Drosophila melanogaster: one gene and its partners. The protein of the gene in region 4 interacts with the protein of the main gene of each other region in a pairwise test. Each region holds a gene or a part of one and is shown on either strand. Other genes may lie near its edges. The genes, in order: Aldh, CG17127, CG13044 and Tsr1.

Evidence for each region.
Region 1: the proteins of Tsr1 (region 4) and Aldh interact in a two-hybrid assay, tested with the Drosophila melanogaster proteins (one large-scale study listed by BioGRID).
Region 2: the proteins of Tsr1 (region 4) and CG17127 interact in a two-hybrid assay, tested with the Drosophila melanogaster proteins (one large-scale study listed by BioGRID).
Region 3: the proteins of Tsr1 (region 4) and CG13044 interact in a two-hybrid assay, tested with the Drosophila melanogaster proteins (one large-scale study listed by BioGRID).

Annotation. Positions count from the first base shown.
Region 1 is NT_033779.5:9,384,938-9,392,846, forward strand, and holds Aldh (aldehyde dehydrogenase), read left to right. Parts: upstream 1-2,451; 5' UTR 2,452-2,830; coding exon 2,831-2,953; intron 2,954-4,891; coding exon 4,892-5,040; intron 5,041-5,102; coding exon 5,103-5,199; intron 5,200-5,308; coding exon 5,309-6,502; 3' UTR 6,503-6,630; downstream 6,631-7,909.
Region 2 is NT_033779.5:10,768,465-10,772,528, reverse strand, and holds CG17127 (uncharacterized protein), read right to left. Parts: upstream 1,662-4,064; 5' UTR 1,633-1,661; intron 1,599-1,632; exon of another isoform or gene 1,572-1,598; 5' UTR 1,545-1,571; coding exon 1,248-1,544; 3' UTR 1,159-1,247; downstream 1-1,158. Other genes in the region: CG6724 (uncharacterized protein), read left to right, coding at 2,796-2,854, 2,915-3,581, 3,639-3,885, 3,953-4,064.
Region 3 is NT_037436.4:16,301,022-16,305,373, reverse strand, and holds CG13044 (uncharacterized protein), read left to right. Parts: upstream 1-2,195; 5' UTR 2,196-2,260; coding exon 2,261-2,272; exon of another isoform or gene 2,273-2,337; coding exon 2,338-2,793; 3' UTR 2,794-2,884; downstream 2,885-4,352. Other genes in the region: CG13043 (uncharacterized protein), read left to right, coding at 1-29; CG43249 (uncharacterized protein), read right to left, coding at 784-996, 1,054-1,074; CG4982 (uncharacterized protein), read right to left, coding at 3,486-3,815, 3,879-3,890.
Region 4 is NT_037436.4:21,332,834-21,339,718, reverse strand, and holds Tsr1 (Tsr1 ribosome assembly factor), read right to left. Parts: upstream 4,505-6,885; 5' UTR 4,397-4,504; coding exon 4,291-4,396; intron 4,227-4,290; coding exon 2,665-4,226; intron 2,611-2,664; coding exon 2,344-2,610; intron 2,288-2,343; coding exon 1,778-2,287; 3' UTR 1,487-1,777; downstream 1-1,486. Other genes in the region: Tbc1d8-9 (TBC1 domain family member 8/9), read left to right, coding at 1-105, 164-849, 907-995, 1,061-1,366; Rab26, read right to left, coding at 5,709-5,823, 6,225-6,369, 6,455-6,565. UniProt on the Drosophila melanogaster protein: Required during maturation of the 40S ribosomal subunit in the nucleolus.

The DNA of each region.
Region 1 (7,909 bases), on a different chromosome or scaffold from region 4:
ATATCGAGCCATAAAACCCGACTCACCGAACAAGTGAGCGATAAAAAAAGGTGGAGCAATTTCGAGGGAGGAAAAGGGTGAAGCAAGTGTAAGCAAAGTCCAGTCATAAGCCATTTGCATACATTTCGCTTATATTTTTCCATGGCTCTACGCGGATCTTCCCTTATTTTTTCTCCCTCCCTTTTTTACGTTGTGTGCCAAAAGCATAAAGCATTAGGGTTTGTTGGTTATGGTTCTGGCCAAGGTCCTAAGTGGGTCACGTAGATTTTGGTCTAGGATTTCCTTTGTTTGATTTGACCTTTGACAGAGATCATTACCGCACAAAATTGATGGATTTTCCCTTTATCCTGTTTGACGTCTGTTGATTTTAGCTGACCAAACAAAAGTGAATTTATTACATTCTTATAATTTGAATATTCTGGCACTGCTTTGGTGTGAGAAAATGCTTTTAGCGTTCCACTTTGTCGATTTTGTTTCAATAACTACTTAAGTTGAAATACACATGTTTTATCATATCAAATGACATACTTAAATAACCTTTCTTAAGCATCAGAAATTAAATTTATTTATTCGAAAAGCTTTAAATGCGCTTCCATATTTGATTAATAAGATTAATAAGATTAATATTTCCCTCATTTATATTGTGAAATCAAAACAATGTTCTGAGTACATTTCCCTCTGGCCAGTTCAATTTCATTTCCCGGGAAGCACAAATATTACGTGTGTTAATTATATTCCCACCTCTGCTCTACACACCGAGTATCATACTACCACACACAAGCCAAACTTAATTTACGTAATCATCCATAAAATTGTGCAAGCGCAAGGAGCGACATCGACTCCCACCAGGCGTAATTAAATTCAATTGAAAGTAATTTCCAACAAATTGTTGTAAATTTCATTTTCGCATTTATAACCCACATATGTATGTACATATACTACATGGTACTGCGTCCAGCAATCAGCCATCAATGATGGCATTTAAGTGCGTGCGCCTGAGCCGAGCTGTCCGAATGCAATTTATTTTTTACGCCAAACTGTTTACTCTCGGTTATTAAATATTTCATGCAGCTGAGGACAGCAACCGCAGCGACAGCAGAATCATCAATAACCGGCACCGCCGCATAACAATTGCCATTAAAGTTTATTCGGGCGGTTTCGGCGTTGGTAATTGGGCCCTTCGGTGGGAAAATCGAGGGGAATGGAGCCGGAATCGACCAAATGTTTACTCAGCCTCCATTTCAGTTGCATGTGCTTTTCGGACGGAAGGGTGAGACGCATTGTATTGAATTAGTTTTCCGACTGTGATTGCTTTCGTTCGCCAGTTTTGGCCAACGATGCGTATGCGTGATTCTCTTGACAGCCGTCGCTAAGCTTTCAATTTACGAGTGAAATAAATTTCGAAAGATTTTGACAAATTGGCCTAAATCGCATTTAATGAATTATGTTGAAATAAATTTCGTCCTCTTTTCGCTCATCATCAATTTTGTGCTAGTAATATGGCTGACAGCCGAAAAGTATGCCATAGCCATTTTTATTATGCGAATGCTCGTGCAAGGGGATGAAAACGTTGAGAAGCAAGCGAAATAATGAAGAGAGACAGCAACATAATAAAAATCAAAGTAATGTTCAATAATAGACGAACGATTTCGGACATTTCACTAATGCATTACTTTAATTCAATAACTTTTGGGCAAATAAATTAGCGCAATTCTTTGTATTGTACCAAAATAAATAATAATACCTTATTTATTATTACTATACAAGTCTTGCTAGTTAACAGTAAACCATCTGGCGCATTCTGTTCCACAAGTTATATAATATAATTGTGAATACAAATTCTAAAGCTCATTGATTGATTGGCCTGATAACTGTTTAGATGTTACAATATCATTTGGTTTTAAATTCATTTCCTCCCATCGTGAAATTATAAAAAATAGCTAGTCATTCTAAACGAAAAACACAAAGTTCTGGAATATTTTTCTTTTAAGCGAAATCGTATGATAATTTATACCGTGGAGGTTTGCCAAATAAGCTACAAAAGCAATCTATAGTTTCATAAATTACTAAAGAGTATCTTAACGAGATAAACAATATTATAATAACCCCACCCGGCATAATGAAATCTCCACATGCAAATGCAATTTTATTCAAGTACTTTTCGTACTTAGTACTTAGTTATTGCGTTTAAGACTCTTTGTTATTGATTTCCTTCTCTTTCTGGTTTCCCTATTGAAGAGATTATCTATCTATCTCGCTCTGACTTTATCAGCACTTATCAGTGTTGGCAATGAGCTTTTAACTACTTTATGCCTATCTACTTTTTCTCTTAAAACCATCCCATACTAATAACTACATAATACCTCAATCATATACTTATTATGATTTTGCTCCACCTAATTAATTATATAAAACAAGGTATACTATGTGGAAATTCTTTTAAGTTATAAAGCCAGCTGTGTGTATCAGTTCAAACCGTTAGGTCACAAAAATTTTATTTATTTTAATTTAAAAAAAAAATTATTAAATTTTCGGTCTAAATTGTGTTATTGTTCTTTATATGGCTCCTAACAGTTAAAAATCTTATAGATAAGGGCGACCATATGTAGCTATTTTTGGCTATGTTCTTCTGACAGCACTTGTGGCGTGGCGCGAGTTCCCCTCTAGACACTTAAATATTCCTAAGTAGTTTTCGCGAGCGGCAAAGCTACGAAATCGTTTCAGTTGTCCGTCGACCGCTGAACAATTAAGACGCAGTTCTAGTTTTGCGCTCTCAGTACTTTTCTCTAGTTTTTCTATCCGGAAAAGTATAAAAAATAATCTATTCAAAATGCTGCGCGTTTTGAAGACCGGTGCCCTGCTGCGTTCCCAGGCCAAGAACTTCGCAGCAGCTGTTGCGAACTACTCCTCCCTCCCGCAGCCACAGACAACGCCCGATATCCTCTACACCGGGGTAAGTCCTAATCCTAACTCAAATCCAAAAAAAAAAAAAAATAAAAAGTGAAAAGCATTATAAATAAATTGCGGCATTTGTAGCAATCGCACTTGCAATCTGAGTAAAGAACTCAACAGGAAAGCAAGCATTTGACTTGTTTTTGAGCTGACCTTGAGGCGAGCAACTACAGCTGTTATCGCCCTAGAGCCCCTCCTCAAATACCCTACATATGCGAATCCAGTTTTTAGGTTCTCCGGTGTAGGTCTTCCCCATTTCGATTTTAACGAAAAGAAATTGGCAAATCAGCGCAACGCAAGCGAGTCTCACCGCATTCAGATCACGTACACCAAATGTTTATCGGCAGATGTAGGGGATTGTAGGGGATTAGGCTGCTTAAGCGAATCGAAAGACCGGCGACTAAAATAAATATACAAAGGCGATATCGAAAAAGCAAAAACAACAATCGCATATGTAGTTCGCCGGCTATTGTTGTTGTTATTTCTGCTTCAGCTTCTCATTGTTTGCCATACCCGGTTTCTTTGTTACGTCAGCAGTGGCGCTCGCACACGCAAAACAAAAATTTGTTTGCCGCAAATTCTCATCATTTATTCTTCTCATCGCCTCGCGCTTTCATTTCTTCTCTAGGGAAATTTGCATAAATTTAACCATTGTCATTTTTTATCTTTAGTGTCACCAATTAAAACTAGCGTTCGTTCGATTTAATTGAAAAGGAATTGCGGTTAGGAAGCGAGCCAAATGTGGTTTTTGTCCAGATGTTAAATGGGATCCAATGAAATTAGAGCAGTTCGTATATAGTAAACATTTTTGCAGAAAAAACTTGAAAATCCAATGTGCACGGTTTTTATTTGTCTATATATATTTCAGAATTTTTAAAGAAACTCCTAGCTTACATCGCTCTTAAACTGTCTTTAAATAATTGTTAGTGTTCTATGTTTTCCAAAAACAAGGAAGTTCTTAAAAATTTGTATATAATAAATATTTTTGCAAATGAACTTGATTTTCAAATATGCATGTCTTGCATACCAATATATTTTTGTTTTTAAGTCTAAAAATGAAATCTTGCATACCTCTTAAATTGGCTTAGAATAGCAAATAACATATATATAGACCATATATGTACATATATGCTGAACCCTAAAGCAAAATATTTCAATTTTACAAGAATTGAGCATTCGTCTATTTTGAGTGAACTGCATATTATGCAACCTTTATAGTACTTATACATATGCCATAATCTGAGAATCTGCTTTCATAACAAGAAATATCAGCCCATAATGTCTCGCGCACCACAAACGTTCTAATCTCTTGATTTATCTTATTGTATTTGTGTTTGTTGGCATAGGCAGTTTCCACTTCTTATCACCGGCAGCCCTATTATTTTGGGGGTCTTTACTGGGCGAGATAACATGGCACACTTATAAGATTGGCTTCCCTAATCGAACCAGTATTAGACTCGTCTAGCCAGACCCCCGAAAACTAATGCACACGTGCGTCGTCGCTATGTTTATATTTTGCTATGTCTGGCGGAAAGTTTTATATTCGCAAGCACATTGTGAAATTCAAAAGTAGATGTATGCAAAAATAAAAACAAAAAGAAATAAAAATGTTCTATAAAATAGGATGACGTGAGGGGTTGGACGCGAGGGCTCACTTCGTTTCAATTTTAATCAGTTAGCCGGTAAACGTTTTAGATTACCCAGACTGGGGGATTGTCAGATTCAGGTAGCCATGCGAACGAAACAATCAGTCAATTGCGATAGAGGAATAACACGCACGGCAGGCAATAATAACAAATAACAGCAGTCAAGGGCTTATCATATAGAGGAGTGGCTTGTTTGTCAATCCAACAAAACGATGTAAAATACAAATGAATTCAATAGAAGAGATTGTGAATATGATATGGCACTAATTGAAGCTGTTAACTACTTATTGCAGGTATTTATCAACAACGAGTGGCACAAGAGCAAGTCGGGCAAAATATTTGAAACCATCAACCCGACCACAGCGGAAGTCATTGCCGAAATTCAGTGTGCTGATAAGGAAGATATCGATATTGCCGTCCAGGCTGCACGCAATGCATTCAAGTGAGTGTGCAATTTGGATATAAATCGACTTTGCTTATTAATAACAACTCTATGATCACTAGGTTGGGATCTCCATGGCGTCGCATGGATGCCTCGGAGCGGGGTCGCCTGCTCTACCGCCTGGCTGATCTCATGGAACGCGATCAGGTCTATCTTGCCGTAAGTATCAAGAAATATTTTAATAATTCAAGGTCTTTAGTTGGAAGTTTAAAATATTAATATAGTTTATATATACTTATATGCTTATCAAAATTTAATTTTCCGACAGAGTCTGGAGACCCTTGACAACGGCAAGCCCTACAGCATGTCCTACAACGTGGATCTCCCGACTGCCATCAAGAACCTGCGCTACTTTGCTGGATGGGCGGACAAGAACCATGGCAAGACTATTCCCATGGACGGAGATTTCTTCACTTACACCCGCCATGAACCCGTGGGCGTGTGCGGCCAGATCATTCCCTGGAACTTCCCCATCCTGATGATGGCCTGGAAACTGGGTCCCGCTTTGGCTACCGGCAACACCATTGTACTAAAGCCCGCTGAGCAGACCAGTTTGACTGCTCTGTACATTGCCCAGTTGGTGAAGGAGGCTGGCTTCCCCGAAGGTGTGGTCAATGTGGTTCCCGGATTTGGAACTGCTGGCGCTGCCTTGGCGAACCACTGCGATGTGGATAAGGTGGCCTTCACCGGTTCCACCGATGTGGGCAAACTTATCCAACTAGCATCGGGAAATACTAACCTAAAGAGAGTGACACTGGAGTTGGGAGGCAAGTCGCCAAACATTATTCTGTCTGACACCGATATGGACTACGCCGTCGAGACGGCTCACTTTGGTCTGTTCTTTAACATGGGCCAGTGCTGCTGTGCAGGATCTCGTACTTTCGTGGAGGACAAGATCTACGATGAGTTTGTCGAGCGCAGCGCGGAGCGGGCTAAGAAGCGCACCGTGGGCAATCCCTTTGATCTGAACACTGAGCAAGGTCCTCAGGTGAACGAGGAGCAGATGGAAAAGATCCTTGGAATGATCAAAACAGGCAAGAAACAGGGCGCTAAGTTGGTTGCCGGTGGCAGTCGCCCAGAGGGCCTACCCGGCTACTTCGTCCAGCCCACGGTGTTCGCCGATGTCCAGGATGATATGACCATTGCAAGGGAGGAGATCTTTGGACCGGTTCAGCAGCTGATCCGCTTCAAGAAGCTGGATGAGGTCATCGAGCGGGCTAACAACTCCGAGTACGGATTGGCCGCCGCCGTTTTCACCAAGGATCTGGACAAGGCCAACTACATTGTGGGTGGCCTGCGTGCCGGAACTGTGTGGGTAAACACCTACAATGTCCTCGCTGCCCAGGCTCCGTTCGGTGGCTACAAGATGTCCGGCCATGGACGCGAGAACGGAGAGTATGCTCTGTCCAACTACACGGAGGTCAAGAGCGTCATCGTCAAGGTTGCCCAGAAGAACTCCTAAGAAGGACCAGATATTTCCTCCAAGAGGGACGCTTAATATGGTTCGCCCTACTTAGGTGCTCTAAATTCCGGCGATAATCTACATCTCTATAATGAACATAGTTTTAAATACATCTGTTTGATATACCTAACTACGGCCAGTTTTTGTATTTTTTCCATTCGGTTAGTTTTCTTTAAGTGTACATTTCTATCTAGTACATATGTAATGCAGCTATAAATCAGTGCAGGGACCTGGTCAAACAATTCAAAAGTTGTTTTATTTACGTTCTATCTTACTCCCCTTTGCCCTACAGAGTTTTATGTGTAATTCCAATGTTTGCCAATAGATTCTTGGCTTTGTTTATAGCACACTCTGAACTGAATGTCATTATTTTGCTTATCCCACAACACTGAGATAGGACAAACAAGCACACAGATACTTCCTCACAGCTTACACTGCACGAAACATTGATTGGTTTAGCATAGAGCCAAAAGCAAATGGATAAAGTGAGCAACCAGCACACGGAGCTCAGGGAACTAGCTTGCTCGTCCATCTAGGAGAAATAAGCTTACATTTATTTGCATTTATTGGCATTTTCCATCGTTTTGTTTTAGCCTCGAATGCCTGAGTGTGTGTGTTTGAATCTGTGTGTGGATTTCTGTGGCACTAAGACTCACATATCAGGACGTACTCAAACTTACACAGACACATCGGGTCGTTTTTCATCCAACATCATGGCATACAAAAAAAAATTGGAAAAAGTTTTCCATTAGATTGGACAGCAGCTGAGCGTGTCAAGTGCTTTGCGGTTAGTGGAGAACTTGTTCTCTTATTTTCCACTTTGTTGTTTTCGAAATTGAATAAGCGCATTTGTATGCAATTTATTTAAAATTTGTATTTCAATTTTTGTGATGACCAAAGGCCAAAGTGCAAGTGGTTATTTGTTTTATTTATTGCCTAGCTTTGAAAATGTCACTTACGTTGCGGAAAAGAGTCCAGAATCTTATTTGCGGTCTTGTGGAAAAAAATTTAATTTAAGAAATCGATTCAATTAAACTAGGAATGTTTATGTATGTATTGAATTTAACTGAATATTGCCAAGCGTGTTTGAATTATGAGATTAAATATTTCATATCAGTTTGTATTTACCGTAGAGTGCAAACTTGTATAAAACAAAAATGTATTTTGCATTCCGTTTGCAGGCGCTGCAAACCTAATTCGATTTGTGCCACCTTTTCGTATTGAACGAAAAACCAGCAAAAATCACTAAGCCCCCACGGCGTATACGCAATTATTTTATTTTACCGCTTGTATTCCGTATTTTGGTTCTGTGCTTTTTTCTGGACTAAATATTTTAAATTGATTTTCGCTTGATGGCAACCATTCATACATATTCGAGTATAGAACAAAAACGCAAAGAGGAACGAC
Region 2 (4,064 bases), on a different chromosome or scaffold from region 4:
TGATTTTGAGAAATGGTTTAATGCAATGGCCAACTGTGTAGTCCTCTTTGAATTGAAAAGCTTTTAAGTTTAGACTGAATATGGCAAAGTTTTAATTTAAAGCAATTTACTCCTACTTTAACCATAATTTATATACAATTTAAACTAATTTTACTTTGACATTGAGTCTTGATAATTATCGTTGGATTTTCCTAGAAAGGAAAATCAAAAGCTCGAGTGAATTTCAAAGCTGACGAGCGGAGAAAAGTGTCAAAATGAAAACGCAGTCATTCTTTAGTTAGTACGTACGAGTATAATAAATAATTAATTACCTATATGAACATAATTTATTTAGGCGATGATCGTGCACACTATCACTCACACACATACCACACAGAATTTTTGAGATAATTAAAATATATTATGAAAATACTTTAACTAGCGTAAATTTAGATTGAAGCTCATTTAACAATGTATGAAGTACGAAATAAAAATGAGGTAATTCTAAACACACAAGATAAAAGTTTTAAGTGGTTCATATCATATTTGGGAATATTTATTACCACAAATGATGCAAAAATCAGGGCCCTATAAAATACCCTACGATCATCGGACCCACCCAGATGTTATGCAAGCAGCCCCTCTGTACCTGCGGGCATGCCACGCCCCCTCCACGTACAACTCATTACACATGCAAGTGCATGTGGCGGCAATTACCAGAAATTAAATAAACAAACCGAAGCCCAGCAAAAAGCAACAAAATACAAAATACAAAAAAAAATAAATAAAAGTCCGAGGAAAACAATCACGACGACAACTGTTGCATCACGACCGCAGCACAAAAGTTGCCGGCGGGGCAACCACTCGGGTTACCAGCGACTCCATCGCCATTCCCATCCCCGGGTTACGTAACAAGGTTGAGGATAGGATACCATGCCATGCGATAGCAATGTGCCGACTTTTATTGTTAATTCGTATGCGCAGCGGGATCAGCGAGGAGAAAGTCGGCGAAGATCGTTAGGAAAAAGCCACAAATCAAACCAATAAATCACTCGTTTCGATTCGAGAGTTCGTTTGCAGAGGAACCAACTGGTTTTCGGGGAGGATCACTTTCGCTTTTAATATTTTTTTCGGATTTTTTTTTCCAATTGTTTTGGGTGGTAAATAAACGCTGCGATTAAATACTTGTAATGTTTTCGTTTTATTAGTGAGAAACTTAACAATGAGGACGAAATGCAATGAGCTAACCAAGGAAGTGGTCCTACGACTTAGTTGCGACCGATCTGGTCGACCTGGGACTGCAGGTTGTTTATCACCTCGGAGGGCACCTGGTCGCCGAGGATCTCGAAGAGATTGATGCGCTGGTTGCCGGGTATCTGCTCGTACGCGCCCAGCTCGATGCCCTCCTGCACGTTCTGGATCTGGGCATCCTTGGGGATGAGAAGCGTCTGCTGCGCCTGCCGGATCGCCTCGTTCGTGTAGGCGGCACCCTCGCGATTCTGGGGCAGGGATTGGGCACCAGCCAGGAGCAGGGCGAGCATCGAACACAGCGCGAACACTTTCATTTTGTGGGTTTTCTCGAGGGGATTCAACTGCAAGAGATGCACGGATTCAGTGGCGCTCGATGCGGACTGGATTTGGTTATGGTCTTACCTTGCGCGCGTCGTTTGTTGTAATGTTTCGGCTGCGCAGGCGCAATGCCCGTTTTATAAGCTGAGCTGCGCCGCTGGAAGCCCCGAAAATCTGGAAAGCTTTAACTCTTTCATTTCGCTTCGTTTCTGGTTTTTTGTAAAGCCAAAATGGTGGCACAAAGTAGTAGTACCGAAAAAAAGTGTTATTACTTCCCAGCTTAATATCCCCATCGACCCATTAAGGTGAATACATTTTTTATTGGAAATTTTTTATTTTCTTGGGCATTTGTCCAATTTTGATGCGAAGGTTAAGCGCCACTTCAGAAATGTCAAGTGGCATTTAACCTTCCAGTGAACACTCGGCCGCAAAGTGGTCTTTCAGGTGCTATCTGGTTCATATTAATAGCCTGAACGTAAAATATTAACAATTACCAGTCTTTGAAGATTGAAGAGTCATTTACAAATTGCCGCCGCGGCTGTGCATTTTTTGGTTTCTTATTTTTCCATTTTGCGTAAGACGATCAAAAGGAAGAGAAGCAGTTAGTGGCTAAATTACAGCAAATCATCTGCGCCTGATTTGCTTGCAAAAAATATTTAATTATCAGTATTGCGAATTGGCTCGTATCTCTGTAAGATTTTTTTGTAATAAAAAAAAGGAGAAACGACAAAGCAGTGGTTATGCAATCAGCGGTTTTTCGAATTTGATGAGTAATATTTTAGAGAAACAAAATCAAAGTGATTAGAAATACCATACACTCTATTAATATCTTTTTATTTGTTAAAGTAATCGGCAAATTACACTTAAGCAAGCTATTATAATTATGCATAGTTTTAACGCACCAAAAAATTTGAATTTAAAAACTCCGCTTAGTAGTAACGGGTGATAACAAGACGATAAGGCATTTCGATAAGAGCACAGCGATAGCAATGCGATAACTCTTATTCCGGCATGCGCTTCGGCGTTTTTTAGTGTTTTTGCATGTATTTGTTGCATTTACCATCGTTCGTTTAAAAACACGCTTCTTTTCAATTTAATTTTACACAACGATCTCCCGAAGGAAGAACCTCTAGTTTAGTGGTCAACACCTTGTACCACCTGCAGGAGTTAAGTCATAACCGTAGCAAACACACGCGGGAACACCCCAATCCCAATCCAGCCAAAAAGAAACGCACGTGGGCCAGGAGATGGATGTGGATAACGGCGAGGGGCAGGTGCAGGTGCACCTGAAGACCAAGCAGGAGCAGTGAGTGTCCATCTAGAATCTCTATCAGTAGAAGATTTTAATCAAGATACCCTATTTCAGCTATGCCGTGCCTGATGTGCCCTATGCCATCGATGGCACCGTCACCACCGTGGAGCTAAACACATTCGTGAACGCACTGTTGCGTCAAAAAGATGGCTCTTCCGACACGGACTTCGACTTCCTGGTGTTCGATGAGTACCTGCGTGGCCGGCTGTGCGATCACCTGCGCGAGAAAGCCATCAGTTTCGAGGACGCCATCGAGATCGAGTATGTGGAGCGGTTCCCGGCGCCAGAGCCACAGGATTGCCTGCTGCACGACGACTGGGTGTCCGCGGTGAAGGCTAGAGGAAAGTGGATCCTCTCCGGGTGCTACGACAACACCCTGAATTTGTGGACCAACAAAGGCAAGCACATTCTCACTATTTCTGGTCACACGGCGCCCATCAAGGCGGTGGACTGGATATCGCTGGACGAGGAGACGGGACGTTTTGTGTCCACATCGCAGGATCAGACCGCCATGCTGTGGCAGTGGAACGTGGGCTCCAACTCGGTGGAATGTGTCTCCGTGTGCAAGGGCCACGAGCGAGGCGTCGACAGTGTCAGCGTGAGTCCGGATGGTCTGAGATTTGCCACGGGCTCTTGGGACACGATGTTGAAGGTGTGGTCAGCAGAGCTGGACGATGCAGTCGAGGGCAGCTCAAAGCGGATGAAAGAGAGCGGTGTGAGAGTGAGTAGTCTTGCCATTTATAATTAGACTTGTAATCAGCTTTACAATTCCTTTCAGACCCCCAAAATTACGCTGCAGGGACATCGTGAGAGCGTATCAGCCGTGCAGTGGATGGATGCTACCACTCTGCTAACTGGCAGCTGGGATCACACACTCAAGGTGTGGGATCTGAGTCTTGAGGGCATCAAGACCGAAATATCCACCAACAAGTCCATATTCGATGCGAGCTACTCAAAGCTGAATCGGCTGATACTGACTGCTTCGGCGGACAAGAATCTGCGGCTCTATGATCCTAGGACAAACCGTAAGATCTAATACTCCAATATCAACAATGGAACTTCCACCTAACCAATATAATTCGGATCTTTCAGAGGGATCAGTGGTAAGGAATACCTATCTGGGACACAATGCCTGGGTGCAGACCGTCATGTGGTCCACCACGGAGGAGTTCCTATTTGTCTCCGGCGCTTATGACAACCAGAA
Region 3 (4,352 bases), 5.0 Mb from region 4:
TGACCTACACCGCCACTGGTGTGTGGTAAATCCATGGCCAGGCCCACTCCGAATCCTACTCCTCTCACTGTTGACAGGTGACCAGGATGCATGTGCATCGCTGGACGGTTTTGTGATACGAATTTTAAATAAATAAATGTTTTGCTTTGAAATCGTGCAAGTTGTTTTCTTCACCCTGCGGGTCATTTATCTTCCTGTAGTTCCTAAAGAGTCTAAACAGATGATAGTAACAAATAGCTTTTATCACTAATATATAGATGAAATATATATACTAATACAAAGGTACTAGAACTGAAAAAGTAAATTAACTGTGGAACTCATTGTTCTTGGTAAATATATAATGAAATTCGGGGCTGATTTACTTTGTCTTGAAATTCAAAATGTTAGGCGAAATGTTGACATTTTGACGTGAATTTAGACTTTTTTTTTAAACATTTTCCGGCGCGTGTGGACTTGGTCTTAGCTCGCTTGGTGTACTAAAAGTGTCCTGGTTCAATGCCCTGTGTCACGTATCTACTTACATCCTGCTGCACCTGTGCCGTGGGTAAATATTGGACACCCATATGTCGGAAAAACGCCACATATGTGGGTGAAAATTAGCTGGGTGACAGCGTGGGCATCCCGCTGGTTGGGAATTGCTGACATTTTCGGGCAGTGAACTCAACGAACCATTAGCCCTCTTCAAGGGCATTTCTAAAAGTCATTGTACCTCTGATTTAAACGTTTTTAATAATACAGGCTAAAAACATTTTAAATCACTTTTTTTACAATTAAAACAATACATTAGTTAAAATGTTTGGTGCGGAAGTGTGTAATCATGGGTATCTCCATCTTTAACTTGGCAGCAAAATCAGCAAGGGGCTGGAAAAACATGGTTAGTGCTCCACTCAATCCGCGATCCACCTCTGTCACGTTCACCTCCCTTCTGACTATCTCGTGGCGGCCATTAACATATCCATTGGTGCAGTGGATGCTCAGAAGGATTAGAACAAATATCTAGAAAGAAATCCATTTAACAGAGTATTTTTATGAATATTTTCTATATTTTCTTACCGCTTTCAACAGGTAATCCATTTGTAGTGTTATCAACGGCGGGTTAAATGCAATCACTGGTGCATTATTAAAATTCTACGCATTTATATACCAAATTCTGTTCAATTCTTCAATACGAGTGTTCTGGATGTTCTGGACAGGTGCAGTCACAATTTTACGGAATAGAAAAATAAACACAGACAGTTTACTTGGAGGAAAGCAACACTTCAGTGGTCGGATTAGGTTTAAAAATGGTCAACAAAACTGTACATATATATCTAAATCCATTTTCTTCCTACAAAAAAGTTTACAAGCAGTACATATATGGCGGGATTTGGCGAAACGTGCCGGGATCTCTAGCGGGATTTCTGGCGGGGCCTTTCGGGCTCCCGCGGGATTTCGGGATAAAAGGTAGAAAGTTGAGATTAAGTATGCAGATTCCAGAGACATATACATTTGTTGACCCACGTTGTAAAAAGACGCCACACCCACAGTTTTGAAAAAACTGTTAAAATTTTCATTTAATAATCAAAGAGGTTGTTGAACTTTCTCGTTCGCATTCCCACTAGCTGATAAGCGGGTATCTAATAGTCGAGTAAATATACTATAGCGTTCTTTCTGTAGCTTTTACTCACTACTGTTTTGAATGACCATTTTAATCAAGCAAAAATCATTGCGAATTCTTGGAATTTAAGTAAATGCGAGTAAGCCAAGCGAAAGTGTTTTCCTGTCATTATAAACTTGGCCTTGAATTGGGTCGGAAGCGATTACGATTGGTTTCCAATTAGAAGTAATCTCGGACCCTTGGTTCTCCCTCCGCACCAGAAATCGATCTTCAGGTGAGTACGTGCGACTAATGAGCTCCGAGTTGTGAAATGAAATCAAGAGTGGGTATGGCAAACAAGTGCGAGGCCGAAAATAAGTGAAGTAATGAGTAGTGGGAAAGGGGCAAACTCGGTTGAGGAGGCGAGCGAGCCGAACAGAAATTGGCCACGAATAATAATCTGGTTTATGGCCAAGACCCGAGACAAGCGGCCAGAATCCGTTCAGGCACGTTCGACTTATGGCTTATTGTATCCGCCTCAATTGACAAAAGCCGGCGAAGTGCGTGTGTGTGTAAAATGTGAAGTTCAAGTATAAAAGACGTTGACAGTCCCTCAGCTCAACACATTCGAAGTCTGTCTCCCTATCCAGCGACACCAGTCGAAGAAGCCAACACCACACCAATATGTTCAAATTGGTAAGGATCGCAGGGATATCCATATGGCACCACTTTGGAATACTAACTCTTATTCTCGTCTCCAGTTCGTTCTCGCTGCTCTTTTGGCCGTGGCCGCCGCCAAGCCCGGTCACCTGGCTGCTGCTCCTCTGGTCTACAGCGCTCCCGCCACCACCACCGTCGTCCAGGAGCCCGTTCTGGCCAAAGTGGGTGCTGTTGTGAAGAGCGTGCCCACCGCCGTGTCCCACCAGAGCCTGACCCAGGTGCACAGCACCCCCGTGGTGGAGGATGTGGTGGCTCCCGTGGTCAAGACCACCGCTGTCCACTCCGCTCCCGTGTTGGCCGCCGCACCCATTGTGAAGACTTTGGCTCCCGTCGCCTACTCTGCTCCTCTGGCCTACTCCGCCCCGGTGGCCTACTCCTCGTATGCCGCTCCTCTGACCTATTCCGCACCGGTGGCCTACTCGGCTCCCCTCTCCTACGCCGCCCCAGCTCCCCTGCTGCACCACGCCCCTCTGACCTACGCCGCTGGCTCCTGGTAATGTGGTGAGGATCGAAAGAGTTTGAACTGTGCCTTTCTAGTTGAAAAAAAATAAGGAAATCGAAAAAAGAATAAATTAAATTGTGAATACCAAACAGATGATGTGAATTTCTTAATGATGTGGGGATATATAAATTAATTCTGAAGTTTACAAAGAAGCGTTCTAAAAAGTGTTCCTACATTTCTGAATGTTTTAAAAACAGAATTAAATTCATTTGAAGTACAAAACTTATTTAACAATGGTATCGATGCACAATAACTAAATACTTCAATAACATTTTGAATAAACCAAAGCTTGAATTTTATTTGTATTTATTTATTTGTTGTCCCAGCAAATAAACAAAAATTTTTTTAATTGAATATTAAATTCAGGTTGTCTTTAAAATCAACAAAATTTAGACTTACTGAAATGTGATTTAAGAGACGCAGTTGCACCCAGCCATATTGGTTTGGTATGTTTTTTGATTATGTACGTTTCCAGAACAAGAACTAATGTTTTCCAATATTACTATATATATTCCAGAGGCTAGTTCACTAAAGCTATCATAGGTACTATGATATTACCTTTACGTCGAACGTTTTTATTTATTGCATATTTGATGTACATTTAAGTTTGCAATACAGAAGAGGTAATATGTTACACATAACCAAAAATGAGATTTTCTGTGGAGAAGGGTTTCTTTGTTCGTTGTTCTACTTCAGATAAATGCTGGGGTAACTGGATACTCCCCAGATTCCCGGCTCGTACCATCCCGCACTGTTGCCCGCGTATCCAAGTGGGGCATACGAGATCGAAGTAGCTGGAGCATAGGCTGCCTTCAGGATGGGCGTGTGATCCACAATGGGGCGCCAGTAGGGACGCTTCTCGTGCACCACTGTGGAACTCTGGTGTGAGACGGCGGCTGGAAGGGCATAACTCTCGTATCCTACGACACTGGGAGCATATTCCACGTGCTCATAGCTGGGCAAGTAGCTGGGGCGAGCCTGGATCAGGACAGCGAATACTCCGCACAAAAGGAACACCTAAGGGGAATAGATATTGCTTTAGGTATTTACCAAATATTATGTGTTATAGGGGCAACTCACAACTTTGAACATCTTCGCTGGGGAAACTCTGCAACAATGTTTGGCAGTGGAAGAAGTCACTCGGGTTTTATACAAGTCCGACCAAGGGAATTGGCTTCTTTACGTTAGAATTGGCACAAACAATCGAGCCATCATCTAAATTTTGTGTGTCTTGTTTTTTTTTTTTTTGTTTTTGCCATACTGATGTTTTTTGCGTTTTTCCTCAAGCCAATTCCCAGGCCCAGATGGCTCATTAGTGACCCATTTGGGCGTAACTGAGCGAGCGGCTTTCGGCCGAGGCGAGGCTAAAGCCGAATAGGTAAATAGGCAAATAAACAAGCCACCCACTTGTGGATACCTGTTGCAGCACCCACACCCATTAAATTGGCTCCCAACTCCTGGTTATTTCTTCTACTTGACTGGCACACAGATGTGGGCCAGCGTTCCAGCCATAAGCCATTAGCATAACCAACAGCCAAACTCTTTTTTTTTCCC
Region 4 (6,885 bases):
TCTTCCGCCCCTATTGTCCAAAGCGGAGATTGAACGATCACGTCGCCCGCGCCCACGCACAAAAGATGATGCCGAGGAGGCTTTCGAGGCGGAGGATTTCTTTGAGTGAGTGTTTTCTGAGGCCCAAACTATAACGAACTAAAACCATGCATTTCTTATTTAGTAATGACGCCTCCGAGTCGATGGAAGCGTTGCCCTCGCCCTCGGATCACAATTTTGATGCCGATGACTTTGCCCTGATTAGTGCCACCCAGCATCTGCACAACCTGGCCGGAATCTCGGGAAACACATTTATGGACCTGTCACGCACTCCCAATCTGTCGGTGAACTCTAACACCTCCTCGTTGGCGCATCGCAGCTCAACCTTCTATGTGGACCTGCCGGGATTCCAGGGTACTGCCACATCCACAGATGCTGGGCGGGACGAAGACGAACTCCAGCGACAGCTTCGCCAGCAGGGCCGTTACGAATCGATTGACACATTTTCGGATATTTCAGATCTGGGAGCGGCACGCATTACGCCGCCCGAAGCGGGAGTGGGAGCTGATGTGGTAGCCGGAGCAGCCTCGTCTGCGGCCGCTGATCACATGCTTCTCAATGTCGAGACTATATCGAATTTCTCACAGATCAGCGACCTTGTTGCGGCCACACGTCTAGAACGTGTTGACTCGAATGCCACGGACTTGCGAAGCTTGGGCAGTCTTGGCTATCTGCTGGACCAGCCGGACGAAGGCGCTTCAAATTCGCAACACAGCATTCCCCACATGCGTAAGGAGAATTTTCAGCTGTTGTGGCGCAGTATCATAGAGATCATGGGTCTGGTCCAGGATGAAGAGATGCAAAGGGCTTGTAAGTATAGCCTTTAAAACGTGAAAGTACCATTCAAAACTATTGTTCATTTTTTAGATGAGAATCTCTTGGAGCTTGGAAACAGCAATATTAAAAAGGAGCCCAGCCTGGAGAGCTTTACCCAGCTAAATATGGGTGGCGATGAGGTATGACTTGCTTTGTCTTTTCAAAGATTCCCAACAATCAAAACAAAACTAAATTTTTCTTTCAGCAACCGGATAGCAATGGCAATCCCACCACTCCTGCACCAGAACCCATTGGCACTACCCGTCTATTTGTGGCTCTAGAAGAGGAGCTTCGTCAGGCGAGCGGAAAGTCCAGGACCACAACAACAAGCAGTGGGGACAGCAGCAGCACTAACATCTCCGAATCCTGGCACATATCTATTACCCAGTTTATCGCCACGGTTCTGACTGTCAACAGCATTGTAAGAGGTTTCCAAACACCAATCCAAATAAGCGAACAGATCGAGCAATTGCAAAAGAAGCGTCGCAAGTGTCTGTCCACCAATTACTGAATAATCATAGTCCCATCCCTGCCCTATGTCCTGTCCCCCCACAAAACTGTATTAGCCATATTCTATGAGAACCTGACCGATTCTTTATCCTTGTGCAATGCGACAAGCTTTTAAACGTATCCATGTTATATGTATGTATATTGTATTGCCTCTACCATTAAGTTAAGACAATTGTTTGTGAATATAATTCTATTATTCCTATTATACAACGCAGTCACATATAAAAAATTATCGATGCGGGATTTTTGTGTACATATTTTATGTACTTTTCGGGTGACATTTCCCGAATGGACACTTCGTAGGTTTCATACTTTTAGAGGTTTAAATGTAACAACAATAATATAAACTCATTTCAGAAGTTATTCGCACTGTCCATCGATCACTTATTTATCCATCCATTTGCACACACCTCTACTCTTCCATGGCCACTTGCTGCGAGCTCCTCCTGTTTGCCGACGCATGTTGTCGCTCGTGCTCCGCCGTTCGCACCAGACACTCTTCGTAGGTCCATTTGGGGAAGACTCTCTTGTACAGGTACATGAAAGCAGTGTCGTAGGATCGCAACTGCCCATCAAAGTAGCACTTCATGTGGCCGTGCGTGCCCAGTGACTCCTTAATGTGTCCCAGCCGTCCGCACTTGGTTCTTAGTTTCACAGGCTTGAAGTACTCCACATCCTCCTTGTAGAAGAACATGTAGCGAATAGAAGCCGACTTGCGATTGATACGCATGGGATGACCGCTGAGAACAACGCGCTTGAGAACAATACGATCTGGATTGCAGGACAGCAGGCGTCCACGGGCAACCAGCGCCAGGGTGGAGTCGGGATTCACCTTGAAGGCCAGCACGGGTGCCGGAGGGAACTGAATCGGTGCGTAAAACGTGGCGCAAACTGTTTCGTACGGACGGAAGTAGCGTTCGAACTGGATAAACATAATCCATTAATAAATAGTCAATTACAAATTAGTCCAAATATTACCTTATGCTTATCCCCATTGGTGTGCTGACTGTAAATGGGATTCACAACAAAGCGACGATAGCCGCACTGGATTATCAATTGTTCTTTAGACTTCAGCGGCACCTCCGAGTCGGGCATTCGCTGCAGTACCACGTTCATTACGCACATCTGGTGCTCATGGGGTAGCATTCCATATACAATAATGTTGTCCATAAGCTGGGCGGACTTGAAGGCATTCCAGCGGCTCTCAGGAACATTTATCACATAAAGAGTGACGTATAAACCAGGCTGAAAGCAAAAACATTATAATCTTATAAAACCGAATTTTTGGAAAATCCCTACCAGAACGCCCTCGAACTCCTTGGCTTCATTAAGAATCCTACGCTTGGTGCGGTCGAAGTTCTGGAACTGATAGATGCGAGCATAGTCAGCGGGAAGATTCTCCTTGGCATCCCAAGGCGAAGTTCGGAAGGACTCTAAGCCGCGATATTTCTGGAACCTCTCGCGAGCGGGCACATCCAAAGGAGTGTCTATCTCATCGGGCCAAAGCTGATCCGTGCGTGCTTGCTGCAGCTTCTTCAGGGTCTCACGCTCCTCCTGGAAGTCCATTTGCTGATCGTACTTTTCGTCGTTGATGGCAGCCTCCGAGGCCACGGACACGGTGTCCTGGAACTCCTCAGTGTCTGAGTCCCGCTTCTCGTACTCATCCTCAAAGGATTTGTTGTCGCACGACATGAAGTCCTCATTATCGTCTTCTTTGTCGTCATCATCATCTTCACTCATGTCATCGTCATCCTTACCGTCTGGGTCTTCCACTTCCTCCACATCCGGAATCCAGGCAGCCTGGTACTCGCTGTAGCCCTTGGGTACACGCTTAACAAGCTTCATCTTTTTAGTTTCCGCCTGCGATGCGGCAATCTCGTCTTCGGTGGGCCACGTCTGCTCCGCGTCCATGGGGTCGGGTATGTTTTCGCTTTGAAGGGAAGTGCGCTTAGAGGGATCACTGCGATCCAAGAGACGCACCTCACTATTCTCTCCATCGCGCGATTTATCTAGCTTATACGGATCTGGAGGGGCCACCACCTGGCTTAGCTGGAAATCACCCAAGCCGGGAATGTGGACCAAACCATTCACGTTAAGAGACTGTCCACGTAAGAAACCAGTAACTTCTAGTGTGCCCAGATCGTCGCTGGGATCTGAGCCCGGTTTAAACTCTACCACATCTCCAAAGAGATGTGGCCGATTGGCGACGTTATGGAGGATGCGCTTCTTCTGGCCTCCAATGCGCCGCATAACATTCAAGGCCTCGCTAGCGGTGTCCAATTGCATGATCTTCTCCTCGGGCAACAGCTTAGATATGACCTTCTGAGCCGCCTGCTTGGCAGCAGGACGACGCTTGGGATTGATTGACTCCAGATCCATGAGGGCTACTACCGGAGTGGGTATTCCCTGGGCTGACATCATGTTAAAGATCCGTTGACCCCAGCGGTCGAAGATCTCGTCATCGCCAAAGGCTGCGGTGGTCAAAAGCAGGGTGGTGTCGCAAACCTTAAGGTAATCCAGGGCAATTAGCTCATTTCCGCGTCCCACTGGTGGTGTGACAAAAGCGAAACGCTGCTTGAACCTTGGAAGATTGATGTAAACAATGCCACTTGGGGAGTTCTCCACGACCAGTTCGCTGTCACAGCTCTTTAGGATTTCCAATGCGGACATGGGATCAATCTGTTCGTGCATGGGTAGTAGGCACACAAGAAAGGGAGCTGTGTTCTGACCACCTAGTTTTCTCTTTTGCTCCAACACCTCCTCCCTTTTGTTTTTCCTGAGCTGGTTCATCTGGTTGCGACGCTGCTCCTTGCGCTGCTGCTGCTTGTGCTTGTGGGAGATAGGCCTCAGTCCAATCTTCCCTGTGAAAGGTGAACGCCCATGTGGGTTAGAACTCTGGATGATGCTATTAAGATTTCCACATACCTTTTTGGGCATTGTCTATTGCTCCTTTGGAGCGATGACGACCCGTTTTGTGAGCCTTGTTCGCTTGTTTCAGCGGCCCGGGCCGATGAAAAGCATGATCAGCCATAGTTACCAGGTAATTAACTATCAAATTCCTATCAATTTACGCTGTTTTGTTTCCCGAGGCTGGAGCTAGAGCACATGTTCTGTCGATTCAATATTTTTCTCGATAGCTCGACGTTTCTCTTGATATCGATGTTGGGCGATGTTTTGCAAAACATCGCCTGTAGCGCTTAACAGCAGTGGTGAGTATGTGAGTTAGCAGCTGCTAACAACTGTTGTATTGGGCGCAAATTTCAAAATATGCTATTGTACTGTAGGGCACTTCCCAAAAATGAAACAAATTGCCGCCTTGTTTTTTAAACCACATTCAATGTAAATATGTATTTGCTGTTTATGGTATAGACTTGACGTCTGCTTGAATATAACGCTTTTTAGTAGCTAGTTTACATTCATTCCGTGATATATGCATGCATCGGATTCTTTATCTTTTGCTGTAGTAGCTCAGTATAGTATATGTTCAAGTTGTTCAACTGCCTTTGATTATTCGCAACACCTTTGCCTGGGCGCGCTGTTCAAATTGGTTTGGGAATGGGTTTCTGATTGGGCTTACACAGGCGTAATTAGTAATAATTAACTTAATTGCGTAGCGTATTCATTAGTGGGGTGTGTAAACAATTTTCAGGGCCTCGTTTGGACCTAAAACTTAACGATAGTCCATAACACTTAACAATTAGGAGTAAATCAATAGAACTAATAGTAGGTAAATTGAGTGATTGTTTCTCATTAATTGGAATTGTAGTATCCCGAGATCTCCTCTGGATTATTTAGGTAGGTATATATTCTCCAAGCAGTTCTATCCTCAGTGAAATCCAACGGCGTGCTGGATAAATCTCAATGTGGCATGATTTTGCTGCGTTCCGTCGGCTCTCTCCTTAAAGTAATTTATGCAGTTGTATACGGATATTTGTATGTATATATACATATATATATATATATATATAGTTTAATATTTATGCACCGGGCCTACTGATGCCGCAATGCCAATGGCCTGCCCTATAAAAATTATGCGTATCGCGTCCCGTTCCGCCCCGAAATCCCCATTTACCTACAAAACATGCCGAGTACTCTACCTTCCGTCTAGGGTCTTACAAAATTGGTGCAATCTTATCGAGTGTCTTTGTGTGATTTTCTTTTTTGTCGTTTTGGGTTTGTTTCAATAAATGCAGAATTTCGACTCTGCGCCATCGAACGTGTCCTTCTGCTTCCTTTCGAGTGCCCCACTTCCCATCTCAACTGGCTGCGGGCTTATTGTTGTCTTTGTGCGCGGGATCGGGAGGATATGGCTCTTCTGTCATCCGCAAGTTGGCCAATTTCAATTACATGTTCCTGCACTGGGCGCAAACCGAGCGCGCCTTTGTATTGTCACGCACAAAATCATGCACATTGAACTTTCCATCATCGCCGTGCTCGTAGCCGCGACTCTTTAGTTGCCTGCAAATGAGAATGAAGATATTAAATGTATTGATCGGGGAAATTTCGAAGAATTCCATAGTGGTTTCACGTTCTAGTAATATACGTATCTCCTAAAATTAATTCTGTATTAATCAATTCTGTACTAAGCCTAAAACAGAGTATATTATGGATACAAGTTGTAAGAAACCTATAGTAATGCCTATAGAAACCTCATAGTAAAAGCTTTGCTTTAAATCTGAATACCTTCATTTTCGAAGAAATGAAAAACGAAAACTGAACTTTTCAACTATTCCAAGCATTATCTTGTGAATTTGATCAAATTTACATAGCTAAGATACTTAATATATTTTTAAATCAATATGTCTTTTTCCCAATTGGAAATAAATCGAATTTAGGATGGCGTTGCAAGGAGAACTCACCTGGCCACCGCTGTGAAGGACAGCTCCACATTGAGTCCCGTCTTGGCCGAGGTCTCCATGAAGGGCACGTTGTGCTCCCGCCCCAAACGCTCCCCATCCTCCCGCTTCACCTGCCGCTCGCTGCCGCTGCAGTCGGCCTTGTTGCCTGCGGATTGAAGCGAAAAGTTGATTCGATTCGAAGCTCGTAAGTTGATTAAGTTCAATCAAGGCCCTTTAACCCGATCTCTCACCTATTAAAACGATGACCACGTCCTCCTGCGCGTACTCCCGGATCTCGCCCAGCCAGGCGCGAATGTTGTCATAGGTGGTCTTGTTGGTCACGTCGTACAGCAGCAGTAGAGCTTCGGTTGAAAAATGCAATTAGGTTCAGTAGCAAAGGTAGGATAAAGTGCATCCGAAACAAGGATAGTTATTCGATAAAAAATAAAGTAATTGAAATTTAAAATATACATTCAAACTTCAATAAATATGTGGTGTATTAGATATAACATCAAACTAATACATTTTTTTAAATATGTGCAAAATGATCACATTTCCGTGTGTTACGAAATCACTCCATTTCTGTTTTCTTTATATGCACGAGGAAATAACGGAAAAACTGGATGTTCTTTGAATAAAAATTACCCCTAACAATTTGAAGGAATTTCATTGACCTGGAGAA